3 linked regions of the Arabidopsis thaliana genome follow. The protein of the gene in region 2 interacts with the protein of the main gene of each other region in a pairwise test. Each region holds a gene or a part of one and is shown on either strand. Other genes may lie near its edges. The genes, in order: AT5G22270, NPR4 and TGA6.

Region 1 (10,022 bases), on a different chromosome or scaffold from region 2:
TACTTTTCGAAGGTATGAGGATTAGAAGATTAGATGTTTATCTCTTTTCTTAGTTTTAGACTTGATCTATATCCTTGGATGGTGTTATAAAAGGTATCGAACTCTTTCACGTATCATTAGCTTTTGACTAAAATATTGTTGAAGAGTTCTATTTTTTAGTTCAAAGGCCTATGAAAGGAGGATTTTTAATTCTAAAGAGTTTTGGTATGAAAAAACTCTTAAATCATATTATCGTTATCGATCATTGTTGATCTTGACAAAATATAAATTTGTTGCTGAAATAATTTGGAGAATTTCTTGTTATGATTGTTTATAGTTTCCGTTCATCATCAACTTTAAACTTTTAATTGTACGAGAAACTTTCAAAGTAATTTTTGGATTCACATCACCAAAAAAATTAACAGAACAGAGTTAACCACGTTAATATCACTTTAGTTTTTTTACAAATAATGATTTGAGTATAATTTGATCGTAATTTGTAACCCCATTTCATCATGGAAACAACAATAAAGTTCACTCATACATTTCGTTTTCCCTGTCGTACCTTGACACAGAAACATAGTCCACAGATTTTACTACTAATACTATTTCGAAGACGTACGAGGTTTTACGGAGGGAGATTTGCGAAAATTCACCTTTCTTGTTTAGCTTTTTTGAACATGAGTTTTTGATTAAACTTAACTATATGGAAAGTCTTGTGGAGCAGTTGAAATCCATCAAGAAGGATAAGTTTTCTTGTAATGATAAGTGGTTAACCCTTAAGCTTCAAATCAACAAAAACTTTGAGGTAACGCTTGTTGATTACGAGATCCTGAACAAGATATTTTGGGATATATAATTGTGAGCGATTGATCGATAGTAAGATTTCGGATATATATTGGGACTTTATCTGAAAACACTAAACAATAAGTCGTAAATTGGGAGTACGTAAAAACATTAAGGGTCTAAATGAAATAAAACCTATAATATAACTAGGTTTAGTGACGTGGCATGCACACGTAGATTAAGCAATGCCTTGGCAACACGTATGCAAAAACCCATATGTGTGCACCTGTGAAGTGTTCCAATAACAATTCAAAAGCTCCCTGAGCAAGTGAGAAGAGACCACACTGAGAAGAAAAATCCTTCAGGTTATCGAAAATTCCCGGATTTTACTCTTTGGGCGGTGGCCGATTTCTTACGCGCTCTTTTTGTGGCGACTGTTGTATACGCGCGAGCCTTCATGGACACGAAGGCGGTTGGAGTTTCTAAGGATACGGCGGCGTCGATGGAAGCGTCGACGGTGTTTCCTGGGTTTAAATTCTCGCCGACGGATGTGGAGTTGATTTCGTATTACCTGAAGCGGAAGATGGATGGCTTGGAGAGGTCCGTTGAGGTTATACCGGACCTTGAGATTTACAATTTCGAGCCTTGGGATTTACCCGGTTTGTCTTCGAATTCGAACCAATTGATTCTTTTGTGTCTTTCTTCTACTTGGAATTTGATTTTGTTGTTCTTCAGGCTTCAGGAGAGATCTCTATTTTGGGTGCCTAAGATATAAAGTTTCTATTTTTTGGCTCTTGGATTGGAATTGACAATTTTTTTTGTGTGTTTGTTCTTTGCAGATAAGTCGATTGTGAAATCTGATAGCGAGTGGTTCTTCTTCTGTGCGCGTGGGAAAAAGTATCCACATGGTTCACAGAACAGGAGAGCAACGAAGATGGGATACTGGAAAGCAACTGGGAAAGAGCGTGATGTGAAGTCTGGTTCTGAGGTCATTGGAACAAAGAGGACGCTTGTTTTCCATATTGGTCGTGCACCAAAAGGCGAAAGAACTGACTGGATTATGCACGAGTACTGCGTGAAAGGAGTATCTCTGGTAAAACTGTTCTCGAGAGTTTGTTTTTTCTTATAGATTAATTGTTAACCATTACATAAGAGGTGGTGACTTTGGCTACTTTTTGAGTCTCTAAGAGGAATACAGTAAAATTTTAGGAGTTTTGTCTTTGGCTTGAGTTGATTGATTATGTTTATGTAAATTCTAGGATGATGCTATGGTTGTTTGCCGGGTTAGGAGGAACAAAGAATACAATAGTGGTACAAGTCAGAAGGCACCAAAGCCAAATTCATCAGCCGAGAAGCATGCGAAAGTCCAAAATGGCGCTACGAGTTCAGGGAGCCCGTCTGATTGGGACAACTTGGTTGATTTTTACCTAGCAGGTGAATCAGGGGAGAAACTACTCGCTGAGATGGCAGAGTCATCAGAAAATCTACAGGTTTTGTCACCTGGCTTCTAATTGTTGTATGATGGTTCTTGATTGTTGTCGTTCTTCTTAATGAATGTTATGTGTGTGTGGTTTAGGTGGATAATGACGAGGATTTCTTTGCGGATATCCTAAGAGACGAAATCATCAATCTCGATGAAGCGGTGATGACAGGGAACACACCAAACGAAGTGCCAACACTAGAATCAGCATCAATGGAGATAAGGGTACTTCCTTTACCAAACATGATAGACAAACAAATGTCATCACTGTTAGAGGAAAGACCATCACAGAAGAAGAAAGGAAAAGACGCCACGGAATCATTGTCGAGCTGCTTCGTGGGTTTATACTCGATCAAATCAGTGAACAAGGCACGATGGGATGTTATTATAGGTGTAGTGGCTCTGATAGCAATGTTGTTTTATCTAGAATAAGAGGCTTATGGAAGTAGCGAAAAACAGTGTCCTAGCTATGTTTGTATCATCTTTTCTCGGACATTGACAAGGATTATATGATGTTTTTGTGTAAACGGTTTATGTTTTACACTTCTACTTCAAATCTGTGCAACCAAATCAAAACCTGAAATATCAAGCACAGAAGAACTAGTGGATATAGTTTTTACACTTCAAGGCTTATTAAGTGGTGTGTTTAATGAGAATCAGAGAATGGATAAATGATGGGGGCAAATTAGTAAATGACTATTTTCCAAATCCGTACTGTTTATCTTTCTCGTCCAGATGGTTGTTGCACTAAGATTTGTAGAATTTTCTCGCCGCCATTAAACCTCTGCTTTTGTTTCTTTCTCTCTTCTTCTATACGAGAACCCATTTTGGAGAAGTCAAGTTTCCTCAATACTCCGTCAAGCCGATTTTATTGATCTCGATCAGTTTCGTCAATTTTTCCGGTTTAAGAAACCCTAGAAAAGCTGATGATTCGATAATGAAGTTTGATTTCACTGTGATAAATCGATCTGTAAGTTGGAGATACTTAATCGTCTTCGTTATATCTTCTACGATGCTTCAATTTTGCTTTGTTGTGCTGAGGAAATTCAGTTTTTCTGTAGTATGTGTTATTTGCTTATCCTTAGTAAGTTAGTTACATATGAAGGAGATTCGTATTGAAACCCTAGGTCATTGATTTGATGGAGTTGCTTTTTATAGTATCAGCTTACACTGTTTACATTGTTCTACTTTTGGTTTTTAATTAGAAAATTTGAAGTGAGTAGGTGAATTTTAAGTCGCATCGATCTCATTTTCGATATATGTCTCAATTCGATTAGGCGTGGTCTTTGGATGTGTGTTTAGGATGGTATGAAATGGATTGATTGTGAAATTTGGAACAGGTTTTGTAAGAGCTGAATAGAAAATGTCGAGGCCGATCATGCTAGTCTTTCTTCTGGTTATACTTATAGTCACTTCTCAGTTTGAATGGAGGCAACCACTTCTTGAGCTTGATGCAGCTCCTAGCTTGTCTCAGAAACATCAGCAAATTGCAAAGAGGGAAGAAGCTGTCAAGGAGAAGGTACTTACTTCATTCTTAAACTCTTTTTCATTGAAGTTTTGTGTGTTCAGTTGTATGAGAAAGACCTGAGAATTCGTTTTGGGATTGTGACTTATAGATTAGTACAACTGTAGCAGAGATATGCATAATTGGATAGTGTCAGTTAACTTAGAATGCTCTGATGCTTAAGATTCCTATATCTGCTTCACTTGCCTTTTGAGTCAATCTATAACTATGCCTTAGTAGTTGTGTTGTTGACTTTATCCTCGACATTCTAGTCTCATGAGTCTCTGGACAAACATTCTTTGTAACTGGCTTTCATATCTCTATCTTCTTCTTTTTGAGAATGTCTATGGAATCCATCAATGACTGATCTGAGTTTTTAATGTTGCATAGAAATATTCGGGGTTTTTTTGCCTTCTGTTGTGTTTTCCCTGATTGCATCAAATAGATGAGGTTAGTGGAGAAACATAGACTTATTGGTCTTGCAACCTTAAAGTTCCATTGGATGTATGACGAACCTCATAACTTCAGCATAATTTTGAACCTGAAAATAGAAGAAGACCTGTCAATTCTTAGTTTGTTAATCGTTACAGATCATCTTGTCACAAGAGAGACATATCCAGAGGCTAAACGACCTTGTACGAAGTCTTCAAATGCAGTTACAGCGATGCAAAGGAGAGAACGAGACACGAAACGCCACTGAAACCTCCCATAATAACAAACAGTTCATTGAGCTCGAGAGGAAACACATCGTGGAAGACTAGTATTTCCTCCGGTTACATCAATTCTAATAAATAACCCAAATGGTACGTAAAAACTGTTGTAATTTACTTTTGTTGTGTTAAAAACCTTGCTGATGTTTTGATTAGAAGGATGATTTACTTTATTCACGTGTAAGATTGAGATATTTAAGTACTTGTAATAAAAGTTGAGAATTAGGGTACTTGTAATATCTTTAGTTATGGTTGATTGATTCTATCATTGTCGATGTCTTGGTATAGTCAAACTTTGGTTGTGTGTAGTTAGATTTTTACTTTGACTGATGAGGCTAACGAAAGTCTAAGATGACAAAAGCAATCTTATGTCATATTCTTTCCATGATTTCATCACTAGTCAGAGCCTAAATAAATCTCTTATTAGACACCAACCACAACTCCATATTTGTTCTAAGTCAAACAAAACCAAATCTCCCATGAATTTTCACATACTCATTTATTATTCTTCCATTTTACTATTTGGCATTCTAAAAGTCAATAATATTAACAGTCAAAAGCCATTCATCTGTTTTTGGTCAATCTTTCTATCATTTGTTGGCCGTGCGTCTAGCCGTCAAGCTATCCAAATTCATATTCACCAATACTTATCAATTTTTCAACAATAATTTTCGGTTTATTAAAAAAAGTATCATCATATACGACTTTAGAAATCTAATAATATCAACTACCCATTAAACTACAATTTGTTTTTGTCAACACCGATTTTAACTACATTACAACCTTCCAAGTTTGAAACAAATGCATTGTCTACTTCTTCCCTCTCAATTTGAATTTCGATTTTCATACTAATAATATGATGATTTATGAAAATGGACAAAAATATCTCCTTTGTAATTATCCAAATACTATTTGGTAATAAATGCAATTTCAAAGCACAAGTCATATACTCAATCTTTTGCATACTATTATTTTCAAATTACATTTATTGCTTACAAACACCTCATATTATAATTATTTTCTACAAGAATATTTATTTTGAAAGCTAGATGAAACTAATCCTACTAATTCATTAATATACATTCAATGAGACCCTCTCTCATCTTGCGTGTATCTTCTCCTCTATCTATATATATATAACAGCCACTAACATGCAGACATCAAACTATCTCTCTTTAAATCTCAAGAACAAGAACTAAACTACTACTAGTCTTCACCAAGGTAAAGCTACTTTGGAACCCGAGAACCAAGTTAATTTGTTCTCATCGAATTTTTTTTGTTCTCATATGTTGAAATTTTGTTATTGTCATCTTCACTTTTTGATTGATCGATAGAAAAATAAGTATTCAATTGATCAATTCTTTTTATATATATACATGTTTTATAAACCATGGATCTCCATCTAAAGTTTTGTTTTACTGTGTTTCTTATTCTGATTCTTGTAGAATAATATATCAACACACATAGTATACTCTTCTTGGAAGGCAAGGAACATGAATCAAGAAGCTGCGAGTAACCTTGGACTTGATCTGAAACTAAATATTTCACCGTCGTTGGATTCATCTTTGCTCACTGAGAGTTCATCGTCATCGTTATGCTCGGAGGAAGCTGAGGGTGGAGGAGGAGAGGCTAAATCAATGGTGGTCGTTGGCTGCCCTAATTGCATCATGTACATCATCACTTCTTTAGAGAATGACCCTAGATGCCCTAGATGCAACAGCCATGTTTTGCTTGATTTTCTCACAGGAAACCATAGCAAGAAGAGCACTAGTTAAAAAAAAAAATAAAAAAAAAATACATAATATTAAATTAAGGATGTTCTTTTATTTTTCTTTCTTTTTTCTTTTCCTTAATTTGTTGCCACATTTATTGATAGTTTGAATTAATCCACAATGAACGGATATGTTCATAAAATCGAAACCTATATACTTATGTTTTTAAAACATCCTTAACTTCATTTGTAATATTGACTGCTTAACGATGGATAATTCTTGTAGAAAACTAAGCAATATTAATATTGATTCTTTGCAACGGGTGATTACAAAAATTTAAACTTGGATTAATAGCTAGTATAAATGATGGATGTGTCATTGTGTCCTCATCAAAAGGTTACGTATTCGGACTATTGCGATATTTAATTTTATAAATGGAAAATGGTCGTTGTTGACTTGTTATAAGTTCAATGTATATGTACATGGCACAATTAATTATGTTTTTAATATGAAAAATGTGGAACAATGACTTTTTTTTCTTTTCCTTTTTTTGCACTATGTAATTCTAGCGTTAAATGCGAAGTATATACATAAATATATACACATCATACGTCAAACAATAAATAGGTTTGGTTTACTTGTTACCAAAGTTGTTGAACTAACAAATTAAATGTTTATAAAAACATGAAAAAGAGTTATGCTTATTATAAATGTGAAAAATCTTCACCTAAACTTACTATAAAAAAAATGCATGTTGGTTTTACATTAATGTCGGATTCAACATTACGTGTGTTTTGTTCCTTTCCCCAACTATCAAAAGAAACAACACGTATCCTTTAAGTAGATTTCTCACATTTTTATCATTATATTTACCGCTACTGGCAATTTCAATTGGACAAACCAAAACCAAATATATATTTTTTCGCTGACGTAAGACCTATCAAAGAAATCTATCATTCAACCAACAACTATAAAAACGAATCAAAGTCACTTGTTGGCTACTATTCAACTAACAATATAATGTATCGCTGCCTCGCTGGTCGTTGTTACTTGTTACTAAGAATCGTGAAACAAAAATGATACAAAATTATCAACAATTATTCAGTCTACGTACGTATATACCTACTTATACTATTAGTGGCTGTCAAAGTTTAAACTTTAAACACTAAACAAGTGATAGTAGGTCAACATTTTAGTTAGATATGCTTAATATTGATTCAAACTCAAATATTGCAATTGTTAGCATCGGGATTTAACAAGGCATATCATTAATTTTAAAAAAAGATTAAAATTTGATTGGTCTGAACTTTTAACTCTTTTTTTTTACGAAGATTGTAACACTAAAAACATATATTTGAAGCACTGAAGTGACTGTAAGTACCCAAAGTTGTTGTGATCACTGCAATCATTAAGGTGAGTACAATTTTGAATGTAATATATTAACTATTAAGTAAATACCATTGCAATTTGCAAACCACTTTTTCTGAGAACATAATTTGAAACTTTCTTTAAACCGCTAAAAAACATCTATTGATGTAAACACCTTTTTCTATTGATGTAACATATTAATTATGTTTAATTAACAATAACTATGTGGGTTTGAACATATAGTGATGACAAATCATCAACACTATCACAAATCAATAAACTACATATCAATTAAAACATTGATAATCGACTAAATTGAGTTTGTCCAACCACGCAAACACACACGTGTGTGTTATGTAATAGATGCATATATGTGCAGGTAGACATGACAGAAATTGACGGAACACAGAGTTAATCTGATTCTTTAAAAATGTGAGAAGCTCAAATGCATGTCTTCATTATTTTATTATATTATCTTCTCATGTTCCCAAGTCACGTGACATTCCTCACCCTCGATCTTTTTGCATGCCATTTGTCACATATTCTTACACAAATACATGTATATGTATTAAAATTATCAATCCAGTTTCGAATATTACAGAAGTATTTTTAGAAATGAAATTAGATTTGGGAATAAGAAGGGTTTGAATGTTTTTTTGAAAAATAGTTAATTATTTGGCTAAGAAAGAAAAGTTGTTAATGTTACAAGTCATGCACATATCAAGACCTAACATACAATCCAATGGTAACAATTGTTAATTCACAGTTTAATTAACCTTTCTCTTTCTCTCACTCACTTTTCCTTTTCATCACCACAAAGCACTAATTGTGTGACCATCATCTTAATGACTACTATATCTCTAAACCCTTAACACACTTCCTCAACACTTTTCGGTCTCTTCTTATAACAAACCCCATCATAATATATATCCAAATCTATCATATTCCTATTCCCTCTCTTCTCAAGATCAAACCAAATTTCTGATTCGATGGCGAATCTGATTCGAACAGACCATCAGCAACATATTCCAAAGAAGAGGAAGAGAGGGGAAAGTAGAGTTTTTAGGCTGAAGACGTTCGGAGAGTCTGGACATCCAGCTGAGATGAACGAGTTGTCTTTTCGAGATAACCTCGCTAAACTACTTGAGTTTGGTCACTTTGAGAGCTCCGGTCTAATGGGAAGTTGGTCTTTTCAGCTCGAGATTCAACGAAATCCAAATCCTCTCTATGTTCTTCTCTTTGTCGTAGAAGAGCCCATCGAAGCCTCTCTCAATCTCCGTTGCAACCATTGCCAATATGTTGGTGACGTCCTCTCTCTCTTTTCCCTTCTCTCTCTCTGTATACAATTTTTCTTTTGCGTATCTATCTATATATGCATGTGAATACATTCGTATATAACTATATATGACCTAAGATCATAAGCTGAAAATTTAGTAAGAGTTGACCTAGCTAGCTCAACATGTAAGCATTTTTCTTGCATATATATCTATATACAAGCTTACACGTACTTATGAACAAAAATAGCAATAATAATTTAATATATGGTTAAAAGTGATGCATTTATGTAAAGATCAAAAATATATATTATACAATGGTTTATACGGAACCTTGCAGGTTGGGGAAATCAAATGATATGCAACAAGAAGTACCATTTCGTGATCCCCTCAAAGGAAACAATGGCGGCTTTTTTAAAACTGGAAGGTGGAGGCTACGCTTTTCCCGAAAAGGAAAGTTTCTCCCATCTTGTGGAGCTTCAAGGCCATGTCCTTCACGGCTTCTTTCACTCCAACGGATTTGGTCACTTGCTCTCTCTCAACGGCATTGAAACCGGCTCCGACTTAACCGGTCATCAGGTCATGGATTTGTGGGACCGGCTCTGCACCGGTTTAAAGGCCAGGTACTAATTAGACTTTATATATTTGTATATCATATAAACCATTCAACACAATAACCATTCAACACAATTCTGTTAGTTTTCATATCATAATGGATTATTCCTAGCTATTAATTTGGATTTACACATAATGAGTCATTTTATTTTTGTTCATATAGGAAAATAGGGTTGAATGACGCGTCGCACAAAAAAGGAATGGAGTTGAGGCTGCTGCATGGGGTAGCAAAAGGAGAGCCATGGTTCGGTCGTTGGGGCTACCGGTTCGGGTCAGGGACATACGGAGTGACTCAAAAGATTTACGAGAAGGCACTTGAGTCGGTCCGTAACATACCCTTGTGCTTGCTTAACCATCACCTAACCAGCCTTAACCGAGAAACTCCAATCCTCTTGTCAAAGTACCAAAGTTTATCCACCGAGCCATTGATCACTCTCAGTGACCTCTTCAGGTTCATGCTTCATCTCCATTCACGTCTTCCAAGAGATAACTACATGAGTAACTCCCGAAACCAAATCATCTCCATTGATAGTACCAACTGCAGATGGTCTCAAAAACGGATCCAAATGGCTATCAAAGTGGTCATAGAGTCAC
Region 2 (11,854 bases):
ACTTTCACCTGTTTCTCTTTGTTGTTAGGTTGCGATGTTATTATCCAGAAATCAGAGAAGAGTTCATAAACTGTTGAATATGATTTCAAATCTCAACTACTGTATAACTTTCTCATCTATTCCTCGTCAAAACCCAGTTCAAAGGTTCGACCTTTCTCGTGTTTCAGTTCCATTTCGGAGTTTTCAGATTGAAAGCTGTGTTCGTCAGGATAAATCTAAGTTACAACAACACTCGTCTCACTTACCAACTAGGTTTTTCGTTAATCCGGTATCAAGGGCTAGTAGGAATCAAGCTCAAGAAGCTCTTTTTGATTACTTGCATTATACTAGAAGCTTTACTTTTACTGATGCAGAGCATATAAGTAAGAATTCTCCTTGTTTTATGTCGACTTTGTTGTCTAAGATTGATGATAATCAGAAAGATGTATCCAAGGGATTGACTAAGTTCCTTAGGTACAATCCGATAAACGAGTTTGAACCGTTTTTCGAGAGTTTGGGTTTGTGTCCTTATGAGTTTGAAACGTTTCTTCCACGGAAGCTAATGTTTTTGAGTGATGATGGTATCATGTTTGAGAACTTTCATGCTCTTTGCAACTATGGGATCCCGCGTGGTAAGATTGGCCGTATGTATAAAGAAGCGAGAGAGATTTTTAGATATGAATCTGGGATGTTGGCGATGAAGCTAAGGGGTTATGAGAATTTGGGTCTTAGTAAGGCTACAGTTATTAAGTTAGTTACTAGTTGCCCTTTGCTACTGGTTGGTGGGATTGATGCTGAGTTTTCTTCTGTAGTTGATAAGTTGAAAGGGTTACAAGTAGGATGTGATTGGCTTGGGCGGTACTTGTCTGACCGGAAAACATATAGCTGGCGCAGAATTCTGGAGACAATAGAGTTTCTTGATAAAGTGGGATGTAAAGAGGAGAAGTTGAGTAGTCTTTTGAAAACGTATCCAGCTTTGGTAATCGAAGGCTCCGGAAAGAAATTCTATGTTCTGTTTGGTAGGTTGTTTAAAGCGGGGCTTCAAGTGAATGAGATTTATAGGCTATTTATAGACAATCCAGAGATGTTGTCAGACAAATGCGTGAAAAATATTCAGAAGACGTTGGATTTCTTGATTGCTATTAGAATGGAAACGCAGTTTATCACGAAGATTTTGCTGAGTCATATGGAGCTTATTGGTTCATGCTCTCTGCCAGCACCTAGAACTGCTTGTCTTAGTTTGAATGTTAAACAAGACGAGCTATGTAAGATCTTAAAGAAAGAGCCTTTGAGATTGTTTTGTTTTGTTTCTACAACGAAGAAGAGAAAAAGCAAACCTCTTTCGGAAGACTCGAGGAAATACTTAGAGAAGACAGAGTTTTTGTTGAGGCTAGGGTATGTAGAAAACTCGGATGAGATGGTGAAGGCTCTAAAACAGTTTCGAGGGAGGGGAGATCAGCTACAGGAGAGATTTGATTGCCTTGTGAAAGCCGGTTTAAACTATAATGTGGTTACTGAGATCATCAGGCATGCTCCGATGATACTTAACCTGTCTAAAGATGTCATAGAGAAAAAGATACATTCCTTAACCGAACTTCTTGGCTATCCAATTGAATCATTGGTAAGGTTCCCGGCATATCTGTGTTATGATATGCAGAGGATACATCACAGATTCTCAATGTATTTATGGTTGAGGGAAAGAGATGCAGCAAAGCCAATGCTGTCACCAAGCACTATTCTCACTTGCGGTGATGCCCGGTTTGTGAAGTATTTTGTCAATGTCCACCCTGAAGGTCCAGCCATTTGGGAAAGTATAAACCAATCATCTACCTGAAGTTAAGGTTATTGGCACTATTTCTTGAATTTAGTACAACTGAGACAGTGAAGGGTTTTTGATATCAATGCCACCTAATGAATCAAAAGGAAGAGTTTGGAGAATTCCGGAACAGAGAGATCCATTAGTGTTAGCCGATGCTTGTGAAAGAGCAAATGAAGTATGTGCTGAGTTACAGATTTGATGCAGATCTAAAATGTTGCGTGAATTCATTGGAAATATTCTTTAGATAGTACTGAGAAGATCTGCAAATTGTTTGTTGGAATATTCCTCCTTAGCCGTCCTACAACATCTGTCCTGCAACATCTGTCCTGTAAACAAACAGATGGACACGCATAACATTCGAAGGAGACAGTACTGATGATTTGTCCAGAGTCTGTTACAGGTTACTGAAAGATCTCTCATGTGATTCATATACTCTTTAGTAATAGTTAGCTTGTGTTATGTAATTGACTGCTTCAGTTCAGGTCTAAAGGAAAGCAAATATTTTTGTAACAATTGAAGACATAAATCCAAGTAGTAGAATTTTCTGACCAAATAAGCAAGCAATATGTTCTAAATGATTTGGATTCAGAGCATCATATTTTTCCTTTACACATTTTAAAAATCAAAATCCCTTGTAATACAAATTGAACCTAAAGCCAAAATGGGATCTTCAATCTTTTCAAAGGAACTATCTCTATTCTCTAGTTCCTGTTTTGCTATCAGAAGCAGGCTTAGATTTTGGTATTGAGATTAATTCAACACGAGGATCTTTCCCCTGAGAAAGTGCCTGTTTAGTAATTCTCTTGCAAGAAGCTTGAAAATCTTTTAACTAGCTTAACATTTTTCTTGTGCTTCTCGTTCTGCTCAATCGTTGCTTCGATTTCACTTCCATATATTACAATTTTCTGACTAAAGAAAGAAGCAAAGCAAAAAGGAAAGGTTTTGCTTTATACATTTCAAAAATCCATCTCCTTTAATACAAAATCAAACCTAAACCATGTAATAAACCTGAATACCAAAATGGGATCTCCACTGTTTTCTAAACCAAAACCTATAAAATAGCTAATTTCTTCCAAGGAACTATCTCTAGTAGCATTACTTATCTGGGACAAGATCATGTTGGATTCTCTAAGGCTTCTCTAAGAGAAGAAGCTGGTGATGAAGAAGAAAGACAAGACCGCGCGACTTTGTCTTTGCTATATGCTTTTTTAACGTCGTTCTTCAGCTCGTTATATCTCATCCTCTTCTGTCTTCTCTCTTTCACAGTGCCTTTCTCGGGATACGACATATCAGGGATTTCTTCGTCCATATACTGATCCATGTACTTATCCAGAACCTCATAACAAGATGGGAAGTATCTCCGACCTGTCTCAACTGCGTTGTTGAACGGTTTCGAATCAGTCAATCTTGTGGTCAGAGAATAAAACTTGAAAGTACATTTCCTTAAGCTTTTACCTGTTTTCATGAGGGCTTTCATACGTGTAAGCATTCTTTTCGTTTGCACATAAGGCGTTTCATTTAAATCGACTTTACCCAAGTTTTCAGTTGTATCATTTGATGGAGGTGGAGTTAGAAGACCTGTGCACTCGCTTGTCCCTTCAACATTAGCAACGTCCATAGCCACATTGGCTTCTGCTGGGAAGAACAACTGAGCAAGTCCCACTGCAATGACACATACAAGAATTCAATAAAGAGACATCAACCTTAAGCTATGAGAAATATATATATCGACTAGGTCAATACCTCGCTTTTCTAAGTATAACAACCTCATTTGGAGATCCTCGGGCATCGAATGGGAACAAGTGGGTGTATCCCCACTAACCAATGGATTCCTTCTAATTTCCCTTTCCAAGATATCGATGCATAAGCGGTATTTACTAGGTTCTTTCCTTGAGGTTTTGGTATGATAATCTTTCGGCCTAGTGAGTCTCCTACATATATTTACCGCACTGCGTCCATCAAACGTGAAATCTGAAGCATTAGCTCCTTTTTGAATAAGTGGTATGATAATTGTTGGCTCTCTACGCATAGCAGCAATATGAAGAACCGTATACCCCCTGGAATTTCTGAAATTAACATCAGCCATATCTAGATCAAGAACCTGTGTCACAACTTTCGGATCACTGTATGCCACTGCATAATGTAGACCATTGGCTTGGTCTAGAGTTATATCTGACTCAGTCAAAAGAAGCTTCACGAGTTCTACATCATCTGAATCCAATGCCTTGAGTACTTTCCCTGTTCTCTCTATCGATTTATCCTCCACCTCGGGTATGTTCACCGACTTAACTCGAAGCTGTTTGATTTTTTCCAATACTTCTAAAGGAAGCTCCTTTTCGATACAGAATCTGTCTAAGTCTGATCTCGCCACTCTCTCAATGCATTGATCAAGAAGCTGTGTCAAATCACAATGAAACGCAACTAAGAGGATAGGAAGAACATTCTCTACTAGTGACTTCTCAACATAGTTACGAAGCTTCCGCTGCAGACACAACAACACACAACATTACAGCCTTGACCAATCAAGAACAGATTATTTACCAGCAAAATCACAAAGAAACTTTATCTCAAACCTGAAATGACGAAACAAGATCCGGGATTTGGAACACAAATGAAGCATACATCAACTCAACAGCAAAATCAATGGCCGGTTTACAAGAATCATGAGCACAAACTGAATCAACACAAGTTGAAACCTCGATAGGAAAAGGCTTTAACCTCCCAGTGTAGATATAGCTCAAGAAATGCAGAAATGCCTCACGTCCCACATTTCCATATGGTAATAAATCTTTCATTTGATACTTAGGTTTCTTCTCACTACTATCTTTATCTTTCTTAAACAGATCAAGAAAAAACTTGCTCCTAGCAGCTAAAACACATCTATGAACACTCACAGGGTTAGCTTCTTCTTCAATGATGATCTCTGCGTCAGTGTAATCGCAATCTGGATTAGTGAGAAGCTGCTCCAAGTTAGAGCTGAGCTCTTCAAGATTAGCAGCTGAGTGATAAGTAGTAACAACAGGAGAAGGGTTTGATAAGTGAGAAGATGTGAAACTTATAGATGAAGATGGCTCTATTGCAGTTGCAGCCATTTTGTTCCCCAGAAGTATCACTCAAAGACTCTGTTTTTGATCTTCAAATCCCCAAGGATACAAAAACCCTAAATCTAAATCCAATGACAAGGATCAAATTTTGAGAAGTGATTGGATCAAAAACAATACAGAGAAGATCATAGATATGAAATTAATCAAGCCCTGAAGAAAAGATCCAAACTTTATGAAAGAACATTCTAATGAATCAATGTGAAGAACAAAGTCAATTCGAGAAATGCTTCAAAAAGTCAACGAAAATGGCGGATGAGAAAAAAAAACTAAATGAAACTTAAATCATAAGAGAAAGAACTGAATAGATGGGTAGTCTTCAAAATCATTGCACAAATGAAAAAGATTTCAAGAAGAAGAAGACAATCTCAGAACAGATGGGAGAAAAAAATCAGAGGTTTATCTAAAAGCTAAAGGTGAGAAATAAGAAGACTGACCAAATAGTAAAGTCTTTGGAGAATAGTAAAGAAAGAGCCAATTCCTAATCCAATCTCCTAAATTTTGTGACGACGATTCAAAAACCGTAAGCAATGTCGTCAGCAATTGAAGACGACTTGAGTTGTGGTGAAGTGGGTCTATGACGTCTTAAATAACGTCAGCTTTGAGAAATATACACAAAATGCTAAGTAGATTGATGATAAGTGGACCCTTTCTAATAAGGTCATAACTTATAAAATGGGTTATGTTATGTCTACACAAAAACTCAAGATAATGCAAGAGTAGATTGATGATAAGTGGACCCTTTTTAATGGGTTCTGTATTTTATTTGAAGAGCATGAATAATTGAATTTATCAAACTTTTTCTTTACTTGGTAGTTGGTATATATATGATGATGCTAACCAAGTTCATTTTGATTAGTTCTTCAACCAAATTTTGGTAGATTAAATATCATAACATAACACTGAATATAAAAGAGTGTTAATCTTTCTTGCAGGATTTGTAGAATGGAGATGAGCAAACTCTTCTTCTTATAATTGCAAATAGTTTCATCACAATTCGTTTGTTTGAGTTCATCAAGAATCTAAAACCCTCCCAACAATTACTTTCGAGAGTGAGATACTCTCGTTTGGCCTCTCTGAACCAAACCAAGCCGGATCCTCAAGGCTATTAAATTACAATTCTACTACTTTCACTGGCTATTATACTCTTCATAGTAATCATCACTTATAACAGACACAAACCTCTCAAGCCAAGGAAGCTGATGAAGATCTTTCATTGCGGCTTCAACATATGATGACTCTGTACATGGAGGCGGCGGTGACTGATAAGTAGTATGGTGATCACTGAGACTAAACCCTCCACCTGCTAAGAACCTTTGGATCAGAGCAAGCTGAGATCTTTCTTGCTCTGAGTACGCGTCCATTACAGTTGGAATTGAGTTAAATGTGTCCCAAGGCCATTGCTCAACTTCTTGAATTGTGTTTTCCTCTACTGCGTTTTCTTGTTCTTCTTCATCATCGTCCCAAAAAGCACACGTGCAAGTCTGTTGCCCTTCTCTGTACTCTGCTCCACACGAGTAGCAAAACTCATGCCCGCATCTGCGGAAAACACAGAGAGTTTTGACATTTATATGCGTAAGAATCGCAAAAGAAACACTTGCTCTAGAATACTAGATTTAAACGTAGGCGAGAAAAAAAAAACCTTAGAATCATATGGTTATTACGATACCGTGATTCTGCAGTTAAAGGGTCAAGACTAACTATATTTTATTGGAAGTCAAAAACCTAACTTTGGTGGTTCAAATATGTATAGATACGGAAAACAATGTGTAGCCATAGATATATATGTGTGTCTTACCGGCAAGTCATGTGGTTGCAGCCTTGAGCAAGCTCGATCATTATACGGCATTGCTGACACCGCCTCCACCTCTTATACCTTGCCAAGCGATGCAATGTAATATCATCTGGGTATCTTTCATCAACTGGAAGAATCTGAAACTCTTCACAGCTCATAGAAGCATGCCAAGGAACACCACAGTCCACACACACAAACCTCTCACAGACTGGACACTCCACACAGCAGCTATTCTCTGACTGAGTAGACGAGCTTGAGCTAGCCCTTCCTGATGATAGACATTCTTGCGGGTCTAACAGAAAAGAGCAATTGGGATATGGGCAGTAAATCTTCCCATTGTTTTTACTACACACATTTGCTTCCTCGAATGATTTGAAAGTAGTGACGGGAAGGAACGATTTGCATTCCGCTGCTGAGAGATAATGCTTGCATTGCACTTGAGGACACCTGATGGGAACCTCTGAAGTCTTTACTTTCCCTTCAACGTACGTTTTCATGCAGTGCGAACAGAATTTGTGAGTGCATTTCAATGATAGCATCATCTCAGACTGACGGTCTTCACAGCAGATCGAGCAGTTCTCGATCGGTTTATCCCCATCAAGATTAGAAGACACGATTCCTACCGCTACTTGAGCCAAGCTTAGAGCTTCATCAAGATCACAGAAAGGAGCAAGCTTTAGAACAAACCCATTAAGGTTACTTGTTTTCTCCAATACCCTTTCTCTCAGAGCTACTAAAAGAGGGATCTCGAGCTGCTCCTCACGAGTTATCTGCAAAGTCAATTCATATAAAACGTGAGCTCAAACCTACAAAGAGATACAAAACCATATGAAAGCAAGTCTCTTCAACAAGCTAAAGAAGAGAGACTTTACCTGATTATAGAGCAACTCGGAGTCGGTTACAGCAACCACAGAGCTGAGATTGTTCTGTAAAGCTACTTCAAGACCATCCATAAGAGCTAAATAGTTAGCTACAGACTCTTCGACATAAAAATCCAACTTCTTCTGAACCTGAATCAACTCCAAATCTCCTGACCTCTCCAACACAACACCAATTCCCGAATAACCAGAACCCAAATCTCCTCTTTCGAATATCGAGACTCCTTTAAAGACCATCTTAACAGAGAACTCATCATCAAGATCATCTTTTTTCTCCTCCTCTACAACTTTAGCTATATCATCACTACCCTTTAACCAAAGTTCTTCATCACCACAACAACTTCTAAACTCTTCCTCATCTCCTAAGTGATTCAATGGAAGCTCCTCACATTCACAAGAATCCTCTTGATTTTCCATGTCTGGAAACAAACCTATCTAAACTACAAAAAGGTACAAACTTTCTTAACTTAGCAACACACCAATGAAACCCATATCGGATCTGCAAATTTCATGAAACAAAACCGAATAAAAATGAGATAAAGCTAATTCTTTTAGATATCATCTAATCTCAATTATACCATATACTGAGAGAGAGAGGAAAGGGAACAAAAAAAATGAACTTTGCATTACAGATCAACAAAACAGCTAAGCTTGATGAAGTTACATAAACAGATCAGCATAAATCAGAGACCAAATCATTTGAAAGTACACAGAAGATAACAAAAGAAGCAGCTCGATTTGTTGACCCACTAAACACCAACCAGACCCTCAATTATTACATATTTCAAGGAAGAAAAAAATTCTAATTTATTTAAGTAGCAGAAATCACCAGAGATTTTGTAATAAAACGAGATCGGTTGAAATTAAAGTATCATTAAGCAAGAACAGAAATCCAGAAGCTTTCTTACCAGTGGAAGGAGATTTACACTTGGAAACTAAAATTAAGAAGAAAACTCTAAGCTATAATAACATCTTCAAAATCTCTGTTTTTTTCCAGGAAAAAAAAGAAAATAAACGCATTGTTTTGGATGTTTCTACTGAGTTTTTGTGGAGAGAAGAAGAAGAAGAAGAAGAATCATCGGTTCTTCTGGTTTTGCTCTCTCTTCGAATGGCGTAAGAGAAAAGTTTTACTTTTTTTTGTTTTGTTTCTTTATTCTCTCTTTTTTTATTTATTAATTTATTTTATTTTTCTGAGTTTTTGGCTTCACTTTGCTGTCATTCTCGTACTGTACAATGTTTTATATTTTCCCACAATGAAATAATTATTTTCACATTACTAATCATCAAGTATTTAATTTAAAATATATAGTTTAAATAATTGAAACTGTAATAATGGAATTGGATTAGAACCTGAGCATGAAGAATTATAGCTTAAGAAACCAAAGTTAGCACATGGACTTTGTCTCCTCTCATTGAGAAAAAAAGCTGTAACTTCATTAAAAAAAAATCTTTCTCTGACTTTTAACATCCAATAGTTATATTCCCTTTGAATAAAGTTAGCAAAAAGAAGTACAAAAATGAAATTTTTAATAATTGTATTTCTGCAATAGAAGACACTCGAGGACAGTTTATGGCAGCAGGAAGTTTGAAAATGGAGACAGCAATCATTAGCTTAATTGTTTATAATCTTAATTCAAATGGGAAATGTGAACATGGACTTATCTTTTATTGCAGTGTTTGTGGCATCTGAAGAAACAGTAATTAACAGAGGAAATAAACAGAACAAATGCGATTACTAATGAATTAACCAAATAAATGGAGCAAACACAGAACAAACAATTGAACATCATTTCTAATTTGAATAACACTTCTCATTTGAATCTTGTACATCATTTCTAATTTTAATTTGTAATATATGGGCCTACTGAGACATATCAATGTGGCCCAATATCAATAGATGGCCTACTCAGATTTTTCCTTTGAACACAACTAATTAGTAATTCCTAATTTGCTAATAATGAAAACATAAACAAATTTTGAAGTAGGAAATAACGATATATTACCAATGGATATGACAAAGAAAACGACAAATTTTGTAGTTTTTTAACAGTTTGTAAATTGTAACATATTCAATTCAGCGATGTCGGTAGTTCAATTTTAATTCAACATTAAACCAATTTAGCAATACATTTTGACAGTAAAATAATACGACATTTCATGTATCGTTTGGCATGATCCACACCTTCCAGGCTTCTCTTCGATTAAACAAAACTATAGGATAATATAAAATACAATTTAAAACCTTTTTCTATCTGATAATGTACATACACAATCAATAAAATCAGGATTCCGATTCTCTAGTGTAATCTTTTTTCTATTGATTTAGTCATAACTTGACTTTCCAAATCAGCAGCACCGAGAACAAGCCGGCAAATCTTCTATATAAGACAACCAAAGACAAAACAATTTATCTCATCAAAAATTCAAACATCATATATTATAAAACAATCTCAATACTAATGGCTACTACCAAGCTCGTCTACATTCTCCTCATCCTATTCACCTTCACCGTATCTCCGGCGATCTCAACGGCCCCGGAACATTGTGATAGCGGCTTTGATAACCCGTGCATCAACAAAGCTAAGGCTTTACCACTCAAAATCGTAGCCATTGTTGCCATACTTACAACAAGCTTGATAGGCGTGACCTCTCCTCTTTTCAGCCGTTACATTTCGTTCCTCCGTCCCGATGGCAATGGTTTCATGATCGTCAAATGTTTTTCTTCTGGAATCATCCTTGGAACCGGTTTCATGCACGTCTTGCCTGACTCTTTCGAGATGTTGTCATCGAAATGTCTTAGTGATAATCCGTGGCATAAGTTCCCTTTTGCGGGTTTTGTCGCTATGATGTCCGGTCTAGTCACTCTAGCCATTGACTCCATTACCACCAGCCTTTATACCGGTAAGAACTCAGTCGGACCAGTGCCTGATGAAGAGTATGGCATTGATCAAGAGAAAGCGATTCACATGGTAGGCCACAATCATAGTCACGGTCATGGTGTAGTGCTAGCAACTAAAGATGATGGACAGCTTTTGCGCTACCAAGTCATTGCCATGGTTAGTACATATGAAAATACTACAAAACGGTCTTGAGTTCAAATCATAAATTAATATGTATAACCATACTCAAGCTATTTTTGAATACCATGAATAGGTATTGGAGGTTGGCATTTTATTTCATTCTGTGGTCATTGGACTATCTCTAGGAGCAACTAATGATTCATGTACCATTAAAGGACTCATCATAGCTCTTTGCTTCCATCACTTGTTCGAAGGCATAGGTCTTGGTGGCTGCATCCTCCAGGTACGAATATACATTCATACTATATAGTTTATGTCTCTTATATCAATTAGAAATTTACGTTCATATGTATATAATTTATGTTAACAGGCAGATTTTACAAATGTGAAGAAGTTCTTGATGGCATTCTTTTTCACTGGAACAACACCTTGTGGTATCTTTCTTGGAATCGCATTGTCGAGTATCTATAGAGATAACAGTCCAACCGCGTTGATTACGATTGGACTGTTAAATGCTTGCTCGGCCGGAATGCTCATCTACATGGCCCTCGTCGACCTTCTAGCTACCGAGTTCATGGGGTCAATGCTCCAAGGTAGCATCAAACTTCAGATCAAGTGCTTCACGGCGGCTTTGCTTGGCTGCGCCGTAATGTCGGTCGTCGCCGTGTGGGCTTAAACACTCTTTCAACATAATCAATAAATTATTTGATTTATTATTCAAGGCGACAAATACTTTCGCCTTTGTATATTTGAGTTTTTGTTTTTAAGTTTGATTCATTTATTAGTTTGTATAGTGCATGTAAGCGTTTGAAAGAAATTTCTTTTTATGACATTGTAAATTTATTTTTATGAATGCGATGTTTACTTTCTTCTTTGGAATGACATGTATTTAATTATTGGAGTTTGTTGATTGTCAATGTTAGTTAGAAAAAATTAGGTCCGAAATACTAGTGACACGGAAATTAAAGCTATATGAATTAATACTATCAATTATATTTAAAATTACTCTCTTCAAGAAAATGTACATACAGTCTCTTGTTTTAATAAAGAAAAATTTCTTACTTTGGTTAGATTTAAATTACACAATATTTCATGACAACTATTTAACCATAAAAACTCGATAATGTACTATATCTAACACATAATTTGTAGGTGTGAATGGCTTAAGCTAAAAAGCTTATAAATTCTATGTATTTCATTCCATTTCATGGTTTTTTGGTTGAAAACTTTAAGTACAATAACAGACTTACTAACTAATTTGT
Region 3 (11,188 bases), on a different chromosome or scaffold from region 2:
CTGCCCCAACAGGTTGATCTAAATAGATTATATTCGCAACCTGAAAAGGAGCAATGATTCTTAAACTTGAAGATGAAACATTAAGATTTCATTGAGTTTGTTATCATGAATAAAATTTCTCTAACCTTTGTCCATGAATATGTAGTAGAGACCAACGTGGGGATACTTCCATTGTACGCCTCAACCTTGAAACCAAGAGGCCCTAATTTTTTTTATTTCAATTCAAACAAGTCACTTAATATTCTGCAGACGAAAATCAGAAAGTGTTAAAGAAGATTCATTACCGTTCTCATAAACAAGACCAGTGAAAGAAGAGCAACCAGGTCCTCCACTTAGCCAGACAAGAAGAGGATCTTCTTCTGGATTGCTCTCAGATTTAATGAAGTAGTAGAACATTTGATCTTCATCTTCATCACCAACACCAATGTACCTGAATGATTTAACTCCAAAACTTAGAGAACACAGAGTCATACATCATAAGGCTAATATGAAGAGGAACAAACCCGGTTTCGAGCTCGAAGGGAAGAGGGCCTTCAAAACCAGGAAGATATTTGATGATAGAACTTGAATCAGCATGCTTAGTCAACAGAAGCACAAGTTGCAGCAGCAGCAACTTCGGTATCCATGAACCCATTCTGTTTTTTCTTAAGTTTTTGAGTTTTATGAAAAAACATCTTTTATCTTCAAAAATCAAAACAGAGACGTTGACACAAACAAAAATCTTTTAGTCTTTGTTTAGTTTAATATCTGTTAGTCTTTGTTTAATTTGACATCTTTTAGTCTTTGTCTAATTTGTTCCGTCTGCAACTGGTTAAAGGATAGAAAACTAGGTTTTTGAACGTGGAAGGGACAAATTCGCGTGTAAAGTGCTTTGAAGTTTGCACATGGGACAAAGCCGGACAAAGACAAATCAATTTTTGAACTTCATTAAACATTTATAATTGTTAAGGTTATTGACATCTCTGTATAAGTTTTAAGTGATCATAATATACTTTTTAGCAGGTAGGAGTTAAAAGGTGCATTCTTTTGATCAAAGTGCTAGAAAAAACCCACGAGTAGTTACGTAGACAAAAAATTGTTTTTTTATATATTTTCTTCTAGATTATAATGCAACATTGACTTCAGATGGGAATACTATATCAAACCAAACACTTTGGGCTTCAACATCAATAAGATCACTCCAAGTGTGTTTAAAGAGGTTGACCACTTATCCACCTCTTGAACAAGACTGAGTTCTCCTCTGGTTTATATTCCAATGTGTGCCCACCTCCCTATAATAAACCAAACCCACAAACCAATTAATAAACTGGTGTAAACAAGCTTTGCATTTTTGTTTGACATATAAATGTGGATAAAAGAACATACTTTCACAGTGGCAAGTGTCATCTTATTGGCATAAGTCTTGGTGTATCTGCAAATAACAAAAGTTTGATTTCGTCGGATGAGAAGCTTATATACAACAAAAAAAGAAGATGTAAAAGAAATGGTTATATATATATACCCGGCGACTTGGTCGAGTATCATCCAAGGTCTCCATTTTTCAGTAATGGAATAGTTGAGAGATCTTATCCATGCTTGAGTTCCAAGGAAAGGGATTGTCATATCGTGATCACCGCTATTCAACAGAAACACCATACCAGAAAAAAAAGCTTACAAAAAAACAAATCAATGAAAGCAAAAAGCTTGTAAAGAAGTTTATTATTGTGTACCTAATGACTAGAGATCGATATCCTCTGATGCTGTTATTGATATGGAATGGTATGCTGCTTTTGATGTCTTGGTTGCTAAGCACTCTATAATCGCATCGTTCCCATGTCCCTTTACTCCCCTGAGATCAAAATCTTCTTAGAGTTTGATCAACAGATATTTTACCAATGATCTTATCAAAAACTTGTCATATACCTTCACAACTTTGAGTGCTCTGCGGACAGTCTCGTTATCAGCCCAATATTCAGATAGCAAATACCGATACGTCTGCAAAAAGCAACCATGTCAATATTCTTCTCTAATGGTTAGTTAAGTGGTTTGCCATTGATCGAAATATAAACAGAGAGATACAACATACAAGTTGGAATCACTTACATAACAATCAGGAGATGTGTGCTCGCATTTTGATTTTAGAATAAGTTCTTCATATATTCCAGAAACACACTGTAAATAAATATAACCACAAATTCTAAGTTAGTTATTTTCTTTTTTTATATCATTCACGCCGACTAAATTGCAGATTGTGTGTAAACCTTGTCATAATCTTCGATGAGTTTCAAGCATTCTGTGTTAAGAGGATCTACAACACTGTAGCTTCCTCCACAACTTGCCTTCAACGACTACAAAGTAAAAAGAGATTTGAACTGGTTTTTCAACTACTTTGTTGTGGTGACAGGAGACAAACTATACAATATATCCTAAGTCATATATGTAATTGTACCTCAAAGAGTTCATCAGAGATGAGTGCTACTCCATGAGCAAATGGAATGCGAAAGTCTTTATCATGATCATAGTATGCTACCGGGTTTCCGATCACATAGCCCTGTTTTTTGGTGGTGTGCAAACAAATAGCTCTTTAATTATAATGTTCAATATTGGAAATAATGTAAGAAGCAAGCATATATATAGTAATGAACCTGAAGATTTATTTGAGGTTTGCAGCATATATAGTTTCCTGTGGTAAAATAAATGATCAAGAAACTAGAATCAAAGTAAAGGGCTTGCATATATAGGGGTTGAAGTGATAAAAACTTACCATTTGAGATTTCTTGAACGATGGCCGGAATCACCTTACCGGAATAAGAATTTCCAGTGACATAGAAAGGATTGGAGAAATACTCAGGATGCTTAGCTAGCCACTGCACAACAAATCACCAACAATAATAACGAAATCTCCAAAAGTCAATGCAGAAAGACAGATGCTTTGAGTTTTGGCCTTTACCTTACGAACAAACTCGTTGACCCGCTTAACTGATCCTGTGTCACTTGGTATATCAGCAAATGGATTTCTTGAGTAGGAGAAGCCAGTCCCAACAGGCTGATCCAAATATATTATGTTCGCCACCTGAGAAGAACCAATGGTCTTAAAACTTGAAGATGAAGAAGAGTTTCATTAGTTGGGTTTGTAATCAGGAGTACAAAACTGGTGTTTTACCTTAGTCCATGAATATGTGGTAGAAACCAACGTCGGTACACTTCCATTGTAAGTCTCAACCTTGAAAGCAAGTGGCCCTGATTTTTGTTTTTCAATTCAAACAAGTTACTGAATAGTATGCAGAGACGACAAATGAGAAAGAGTTAAGAGATTTTTATTTTACCATTCTCATAAACAAGACCAGAGAAAGAAGAGCAGCCAGGTCCTCCAGTTAACCAGACAAGAAGAGGGTCTTCTTCTGGATTGTTCTCAGATTTGATGAAGTAGTAGAACAGTTGATCTTCCTCTTTTTGACCAACACCAATATACCTTCATTATGTAACTCTAAAACTCAGAACACAGCGTCATACATACATTATAGGGGTAATATGGAAATGAAAATGCAGAGGAAAAGAACCCGGTTTCGAGCTCGAATGGAAGAGGGCCTTCAAAACCAGGAAGATATCTGATGATAGAACTTGAATCAGCATGTTGAATCAACACAAGCACACATTGCAGCAGCAGCAGCAACTTGAATATCCAGGAAGCCATTCTTGTTTTAGTTTTTGAGTTTTAACATTTTTTATATATACTCAAAACTCAAAAGCAGAGGCGTTGACCCAAAACAAAGATGGAATCTTTTCGGTTGAGTATGGTTCTATAAACCGGTCAATTGCAATATCTATACCCGAGACAATTCGGGTTAGTCTCTCTAACCAGTTCCAATTAATCTGTTTAGTTTTCCTTTGGATGTAAAGGTGTTTAGAGTTTGTTTTCTCCTTCAATTACCAACTGCCAACTGGTTAACGAATTGAAATTGAGGGTTTGAGCTGAAAACACTTGGGCACTTGACGTGAGAATGTACGTGGAAGGCCAGAAGGGACAAAGTCCCATGTAAAATGCTTTGCAGGTTATTTTATTGCACATGACATAGGACAAATTATTGTTTAATGATTTCAGCATTGCCTAGAAAACCGGACCGGTTGACAGTTTGAACCGGTTCAATAAATTTGTATGGGGTAATATTTGTAAAGCTAAGACTATAGAGTTCGTTAGGGGTAACAAGAATAGTATGGGGGGTTAGTTTGCAAATTCCCGTTAAATTTGTCGATGTTTCTTTTTGGGATGGTGGGTTTGTAGACAAATCGACGTCTCAGAGATTGTAATTACGGATCGTGTCTCTGCTGCTTCTTCTTCTTTCAATCCGATTTCGGACAACCTTTTACTCAGACAGGAGATTTCAGTTTTTTTCAGGTGAGCTTCTTGCTTTCTGCAACTCAAGCTCTTTTGTTTTTTGGGTTTTGTTTCTTTCCTTTTTCTTTTCTTTTTCTTTTGTTTGAAGTTTCCTCCTTCTTTGTTTTACTTTAGTCATTGGAAAGCTTACTTTTTCTCACTTTGTGATTTGCCTTTGGAAATTAAGACTTAGTTGACTTTCAGAAGCTTATAAAGTTTCAAGTTTTTTTTGTTCATTTGATGACGTTTTCAGCAACCAAATTCCATCGAATTATCTTGATGAATCCTTATGGATTTCAAATGTTAGTATGCTTTGAATTTCATGTGTCTGTTGAATTCTGTTAAGAGTCATAGATTTTGAATCCTTGGTGATGAGTTATTGGTTTGAGTGATCAGCTGCTATAAGCTTAGTTCTCGCTTGTGTTATAAGCTTAGTTCTCGCTTGTGTTAGATTTTGAATCCGCTGTTTTGTTTCAGTCCATGTTAGTACTTGAACCGTTGTCTTGCAGTGTGACTTAAGCTGGTTTCCGTGAGCCAATAACTTGATACTTGTGAGTGTGCCCAAATTCCAAACTGATGCAGTTCTCTCTCTCTGCTATCTGTTAATTTCTTTCATAATCATCTTTTCTCTTTCCTCTTGGCAGCTTTTCCTCCCTCTAGTGTGAAACTCTGCACCAGAGGTGAAAGGTTATCATTGCAAAAGGGAGCACAAGTGGATAGTGTTTGCTCAAGTATTAGTACAGAAACTAGTATGGCTGATACCAGTTCAAGGACTGATGTCTCAACTGATGGTGACACAGATCATAGAGATCTGGGGGTTAGCTCGTAATCTGGCTCTAATCATTTTATAGTTTTATTATCTCTACAATGTCACTCCTGGGAGGCTTGTACCGGAATCCCTTGGTAAAACTTGGGGCATTCTACCGGTATAGCCAAATCCACAGGACTAGTCATTTGCTTATGTTCATCAAACATGCATAGTTTGAATGAAACAGTAATTCCTGATGTTGATTACATGCAGTCTGATAGAGGGCATATGCATGCTGCTGCCTCTGATTCCAGTGATCGATCAAAGGATAAGTTGGATCAAAAGGTGATAGATTCATCTCTGTGGATCAACTAGCATCTGTGTATATTACGCATATGCATAATCTGTTTTGTTTCCTTTTCGTTTTGATCCATAGACCCTTCGTAGGCTTGCTCAAAATCGTGAGGCAGCAAGAAAAAGCAGATTGAGGAAGAAGGTATGTATATTTTGCTTTTGTTCTTGTTTTGATTTTTCTTATATATTCCTCTTATTTCCTTGTAATATCTCTAGAAGAATATCTATCTGTCATTACCTTAAGCATGTTATTGTTTCCTCCATAGGCGTATGTTCAGCAGCTGGAGAATAGTCGATTAAAGCTGACTCAACTTGAGCAGGAGCTGCAAAGAGCAAGACAGCAGGTTTATTAACTTTCTTATTTGTTTTGATTCTGATATGTATGTCTTTATAAAGAAGATAAAAGGCTGAAGCTACTTCAACTTATAACTAACAGTCAGTTACGAGTTAGTACTAGTCTTGGGTTAGCTGAAGTAGAGGAGGTAACAGAATTATGGGTCATCCATAGTTTAGTTGGGTAAAAGTAGCTGGTAACTCTCTCGAAATAGGTCCTTCTGGTCTGTTTATTCGGATGTTGATGGCATACAGAGAATTTCTATTCTGGTTCTTATCAGATTCTTTGTCATGACTCATGACAGTGTATTTGTCACTTAAGGATATATATTTTTCAATTTTAGGGAGTTTTCATCTCAAGTTCAGGAGACCAAGCTCATTCTACTGGTGGCAATGGTGGGTTGTTTCTTCTCTGTTAGTTTTGAGATTGATCCTTTTGATTTGAAATTTCTATGTGAGATAAGTGCATATATACATATATGTTGATGAATTGGTGATAGCATAAGTCATCTCATGGCAATATGCTTACACTTGTTAGAGTTAATGGTTTCAAGAGTCAGTGATGATCTGGATGGGAAATTAAAGTCATGGTGATGTCAAAACTGAAGTTTCTTATAGTTTGCGCTGGTGTTAGCTTAGGTCTGCAAGGGTTTGTTCTTGATCTAGTATACTTGCCTTTCTGCAGGGGCTTTGGCATTTGATGCAGAACACTCACGATGGCTTGAAGAAAAGAACAGGCAAATGAACGAGCTGAGATCTGCCCTGAATGCTCATGCAGGTGATACTGAGCTCCGGATAATTGTGGATGGAGTGATGGCTCACTATGAGGAGCTTTTCAGGATTAAGAGCAATGCAGCTAAGAATGATGTCTTCCACTTGTTATCTGGAATGTGGAAAACACCAGCTGAGCGATGTTTCTTGTGGCTTGGCGGGTTCCGCTCATCCGAACTTCTCAAGGTAAGCTCTTTCCAAGTCCATAGAGAGATTTTGATGAACAGCCAACTTAATGAGTCGCAGTGTTTTCACAACAGCTTCTTGCGAATCAGCTAGAGCCCATGACAGAACGACAGGTAATGGGCATCAATAGCTTGCAGCAGACGTCGCAGCAGGCAGAAGATGCTTTATCTCAAGGGATGGAGAGTTTACAGCAATCCCTAGCTGATACTTTATCCAGTGGAACTCTTGGTTCCAGTTCATCGGATAATGTCGCGAGCTACATGGGTCAGATGGCCATGGCAATGGGGCAGTTAGGCACCCTCGAAGGATTCATACGCCAGGTACTTTAGAAATGTGGATGTTATCGAGATATACCATATCTTTTCATCGTCACAAAGAGATAAATATTTTATTTTATATATGAATCCGTCTGTTATGGAGTTCATAGGGCATTTCTTGGTGGCAGGCTGATAACTTGAGGCTGCAAACACTACAACAGATGCTTCGAGTATTAACAACACGTCAGTCAGCTCGTGCTCTTCTTGCTATACACGATTATTCATCTCGATTACGTGCTCTTAGTTCCTTGTGGCTTGCCCGGCCAAGAGAGTGAAACAGAAGAATAGTGCTCTACTCAGCAGTCAGCCCTATACATAATCTTATGACTCAGATCGGCAGGGATACTCCTTCCAAGAGATCGATCACAAAGCAAGGCATTCTCAGATTCTTACCAAAAGCAATATTTTGGGAAAGAAGACTGCAGGTTTTGAAATTGGTTTCCTGAGGTCCGCAAGACTCGAGTGTTGTGTGTGTTGTAATTTTTAGCCATCAGGTTGCATAGTTTTATAGAGTGAATGTTTATAGGTCTTTGAATATTCAAAGCGGATAGGTGATCAGTGTAAGGTCGCAATTACCAACATGACAGAAGATGGGATCCTTTCAGGAACTTGGATTGTATGATCATAAACTCCAGCAGACCAAATCAATTTATATTGAGAGTTCAAAAAAGAGAGCAGATTGTGTATCTTGAAATCATAGCAAGATTGCCCAGTAAACACTGTCACACATAAAGCTTACAGAGGTTTGGCTAATACTATGTATAACCAACCTGAGTCAGAGAAAATACTCATACAAATGAAAAGATCTAATTATTTCCAGGAAGAAGACTTCTTCCAAATGTCGAGAATACAATACTGGCAAGACATATGCAAACTTGAGCAAGAACTGAAGCAGCATAAACAGTACAGCTTATGTGAAACTCGAAAAGTAAACATCACCAGTTCAAAAGTAGTTGCTGGTGTAGAAATTCTTGAGAAAATCAGTCTTTCCTTGATCCTTGTTTCCAGTATTCTGCACGAGCCCTTCACCCACCACATATTGACCGATGATGTGGTGACGCTGCTTTGCGTGATCCACAATGTCAGTCAGCTCTTCCATTCCTTTGAATATAAGAAGATCAATTACCTGCAGAAGCAAGACCACCATCAGATTGCATTCTAAAATCACCTTAAAAGAGAACCAATCCGAGATCACTACACCCACACTCAAGGAGATGCTTTGAATTGATGGTTCAAAATACAAACAACTAACCATTCACCACATAAGCAAATCTTAACTTTGGTACCAAATGCCAACAATGCTGTCATACTACGAGAAAGAACACCATTTTGATATGAAGTATATAATTTTGTAGCAGGTTTACTGTATCGACGACAACAGACTCATCTATGAAAGAAAACAAATGCAAAGAAGAAAGGAACACAGCTTTAGCAGGATGTAACCGGTAAAGCTCCCACCTTTTCGCTCCAAGTAAATCTTCACCAAGCACCCAATTCACAAGACACTTTTTTGTTCATAAGATAAGACTACCAAGAAATTAAAAGTCTCCGCTCACATAAACTACTTGCACAAATTCTACACGATAGAAGGTGTAAGCTTTCAGCTTTCAACAACACTCAAACAAAGCTGACAATAAATCCAAGCCAAAAGTGGAATAGAAAGCAGATACGATCAGATTAACAAATATAAAACAGCTCATTGTTTGGTAGCCAACCAAGACGCATTAGCCAAACAAGGAAAATGCTTTCAATTTCGCCATCGCATAGGACCTGGGTCCGTATTAATCAGAGTTAAATTAAGGGAAAGTACCTTAGGATCGGTGATGTGAGCGTTATTCCGAATCTGAGCAGAGATAGCATAGCGGAGCTGAGAAGGAGCGACGACATCTTGAAGATTGTAAATGTCCATGATGGTGGGGATAGATCTACAGGCAGCTCTAAAGAAATCGAAAACACGGCGGCGAGCTTCCGTCAGGTTCGCCGAGTTCGGAGGAACACCGATTTTCCTCAACGCGAATGGTGCCGCCATTTTGATCTACGAAATCGAAAAATTTCACCTTCCTGCCTGAGATTAAAAGAGAAATGAGTAGCCGAATAGAGAAACAAACATCTGACTATCTGATTGCTTCCAGAGTTATCTGACGACGTCGTTTCGAAGTGAGTGGCTAATGGGCTTTTTATGGGCCTAAGCTGATGTAGAGAATAGCCGTAATTATTTCCGGTTAGTTTCGGTTTACAAAAAAGGGTAAGAAGGTAATTGTTTTTCTATCCCGCCGGGGTGTCTCCGCTTTCTTAAACCTCTCTCTTAAGAACTTGGCGCCGTTATCTTTCTCATGGCGGCGACAATGGTGAAGCACGAGATTCTCAACTACAGCGAGGATGAAGAAGAAAATTACTCAGACGAAGGAGATTGGGGAGACTGGAAAGCTGATGATAATGGTATAGAAGGAGGAGAGGAGGAGGAGGAGGATGATGGTGACGACTCGGAATCTGATTTTCTGTGTTTGTTTTGTGATTCTCACTTCGTTTCCTGTGATTTACTCTTCGAACACTGTCGTCTAAGCCACGGATTCGACTTTCATGGAGTTAGAAAGGAATTGAAGCTCGATTTCTACTCTTCTTTTAAGCTCATCAACTATATTCGCTCACAGGTTTGTGTTTTTGCTTCCTTCGTTTTTGGTTTCTCTAATTTTATTGTTTTTGTTTAAATTTGGTTCCTTTAATGAATTAGGTGGCTGAGAACATGTGTTTCAGTTGGAAGATTGAAGCTGATGATTACAAAGATGTTAAGTTTCCTTGGGATGAAGAGAAGTATCTGAAGCCTTTTTGGCAGGAGGATTCACTTTTGTACTCGTTTGCAGATGATGAGGAAGATGAAGAAGTCACGTTTGACAGAGAGGAAGTGATGGAGGAATTGCAGAAGCTTGGGGATTTAAGCATTGATGTCGAGGCTTTAGGGGAAAGCTCAATGTCGAACAGTGATAAATGCAATATAAATGGAAGTAAGGATGTAACTTCGCTCTCAAACTGCAATGGCCTAAAGCAAAGTTCTGCGGATGATTTGATAGTCAATGGGAAAGATGCAGAACCAAAGGTTTGTGATGGAAGGCTAGTTAATAGGAACATCAGAAAGGTGAATGAGAACTATTTTGGATCTTATAGTTCGTTTGGCATTCACAGGGAGATGCTAAGTGATAAGGTAATGCACTAATCTTTTCTGGAATTGTGTCATAATTAACTAACCTGCACTTGCACCATATGAAGAAAGACTATCAGCTGTCAGGTTTATTCAATGTGTCTGATGTCTGTAACAGGTTAGAACAGAAGCATACCGAGATGCACTTTTGAAGAATCCTACTCTCTTGAATGGCTCTGTTGTAATGGATGTTGGTTGTGGAACTGGGATATTGAGGTGAGTTTGCAGTTATCTTTCTCACTCTATATTGGCCATCTCATTTAGGTTTCTTCTCATTCTCTAAACGAAGCTTTAAACATGTGGTTCTATTTGCTTCTTTTATTTCATATTCTGAAGGCTTCCTTGAATTTCTCTTGCCTATATGCAGATCCTTTGATTGTTTAAGTCAAACTTTTGGTACTTCTTATTTTTAGTTTGCATGCAATAACCATTTATCCTTTGTCTGCAGTCTTTTTGCTGCTAAAGCTGGGGCTTCAAGGGTAGTTGCAGTTGAAGCTAGTGAGAAGATGGCCAAAGTTGCAACTAAGGTTACCTTTTTTTCTACTTGTTACAAGATTTTCATTATTTCTTTTTTCCTCATAGATATCAATTATTTACCTGGTTTCTAGCAGATTGCGAAGGATAACAAAGTATTCAATGATAACGAGCATAATGGGGTACTTGAAGTTGCACACTCAATGGTAGAAGAGCTAGATAAATCGATACAGATTCAGCCTCATAGTGTTGATGTGTTAGTCAGCGAATGGATGGGATACTGCCTTTTATATGAGTCAATGCTCAGTTCTGTGCTCTATGCAAGAGATCGGTGGTTGAAACCTGGAGGTGCAATCCTCCCTGACACGGCCACTATGGTAAAGCTTATCTTTTGCCCTTCAAATGTTGTCTTTTTCATGAAATCATCTTGATGAGTTTTATCCCTTGTTTTCTCC

The links.
Region 1: the proteins of NPR4 (region 2) and AT5G22270 interact in binary tests that used the Arabidopsis thaliana proteins (3 or more experiments, as listed by UniProt).
Region 3: the proteins of NPR4 (region 2) and TGA6 interact in a two-hybrid assay, tested with the Arabidopsis thaliana proteins (2 studies listed by BioGRID).

The regions. Positions count from the first base shown.
Region 1 is NC_003076.8:7,368,699-7,378,720, reverse strand, and holds AT5G22270 (uncharacterized protein), read left to right. Parts: upstream 1-5,461; 5' UTR 5,462-5,680; intron 5,681-5,904; 5' UTR 5,905-5,952; coding exon 5,953-6,234; 3' UTR 6,235-6,612; downstream 6,613-10,022. Other genes in the region: NAC089 (NAC domain containing protein 89), read left to right, coding at 1,223-1,424, 1,605-1,858, 2,025-2,255, 2,342-2,677; AT5G22280 (peptidyl-prolyl cis-trans isomerase G), read left to right, coding at 3,609-3,764, 4,195-4,449; MS1 (RING/FYVE/PHD zinc finger superfamily protein), read left to right, coding at 8,529-8,841, 9,154-9,436, 9,592-10,022. UniProt on the Arabidopsis thaliana protein: Involved in ethylene-dependent salt stress responses by reducing reactive oxygen species (ROS) accumulation.
Region 2 is NC_003075.7:10,693,354-10,705,207, forward strand, and holds NPR4 (NPR1-like protein 4), read right to left. Parts: upstream 5,440-11,854; 5' UTR 4,891-5,439; coding exon 4,372-4,890; intron 4,281-4,371; coding exon 3,542-4,280; intron 3,461-3,541; coding exon 2,913-3,460; downstream 1-2,912. Other genes in the region: AT4G19650 (Mitochondrial transcription termination factor family protein), read left to right, coding at 35-1,813; AT4G19670 (RING/U-box superfamily protein), read right to left, coding at 6,030-6,438, 6,698-7,464, 7,567-7,989; IRT2 (iron regulated transporter 2), read left to right, coding at 10,032-10,628, 10,726-10,875, 10,963-11,268. UniProt on the Arabidopsis thaliana protein: Salicylic acid (SA)-binding substrate-specific adapter of an E3 ubiquitin-protein ligase complex (CUL3-RBX1-BTB) which mediates the ubiquitination and subsequent proteasomal degradation of NPR1 in the absence of SA.
Region 3 is NC_003074.8:3,901,246-3,912,433, forward strand, and holds TGA6 (TGACG motif-binding factor 6), read left to right. Parts: upstream 1-5,105; coding exon 5,106-5,171; exon of another isoform or gene 5,172-5,205; coding exon 5,206-5,280; exon of another isoform or gene 5,281-5,327; coding exon of another isoform or gene 5,328-5,375; coding exon 5,376-5,447; intron 5,448-5,538; coding exon 5,539-5,598; intron 5,599-5,722; coding exon 5,723-5,800; intron 5,801-6,133; coding exon 6,134-6,185; exon of another isoform or gene 6,186-6,434; intron 6,435-6,474; coding exon 6,475-6,746; exon of another isoform or gene 6,747-6,820; coding exon 6,821-7,066; intron 7,067-7,191; coding exon 7,192-7,338; downstream 7,339-11,188. Other genes in the region: scpl14 (serine carboxypeptidase-like 14), read right to left, coding at 1-40, 126-202, 285-430, 504-634; SCPL15 (serine carboxypeptidase-like 15), read right to left, coding at 1,191-1,271, 1,366-1,411, 1,502-1,615, 1,710-1,828, 1,903-1,974, 2,083-2,151, 2,241-2,327, 2,429-2,530 and 6 more; AT3G12260 (LYR family of Fe/S cluster biogenesis protein), read right to left, coding at 8,007-8,189, 8,874-9,092; PRMT3 (protein arginine methyltransferase 3), read left to right, coding at 9,397-9,714, 9,795-10,262, 10,378-10,475, 10,708-10,786, 10,871-11,110.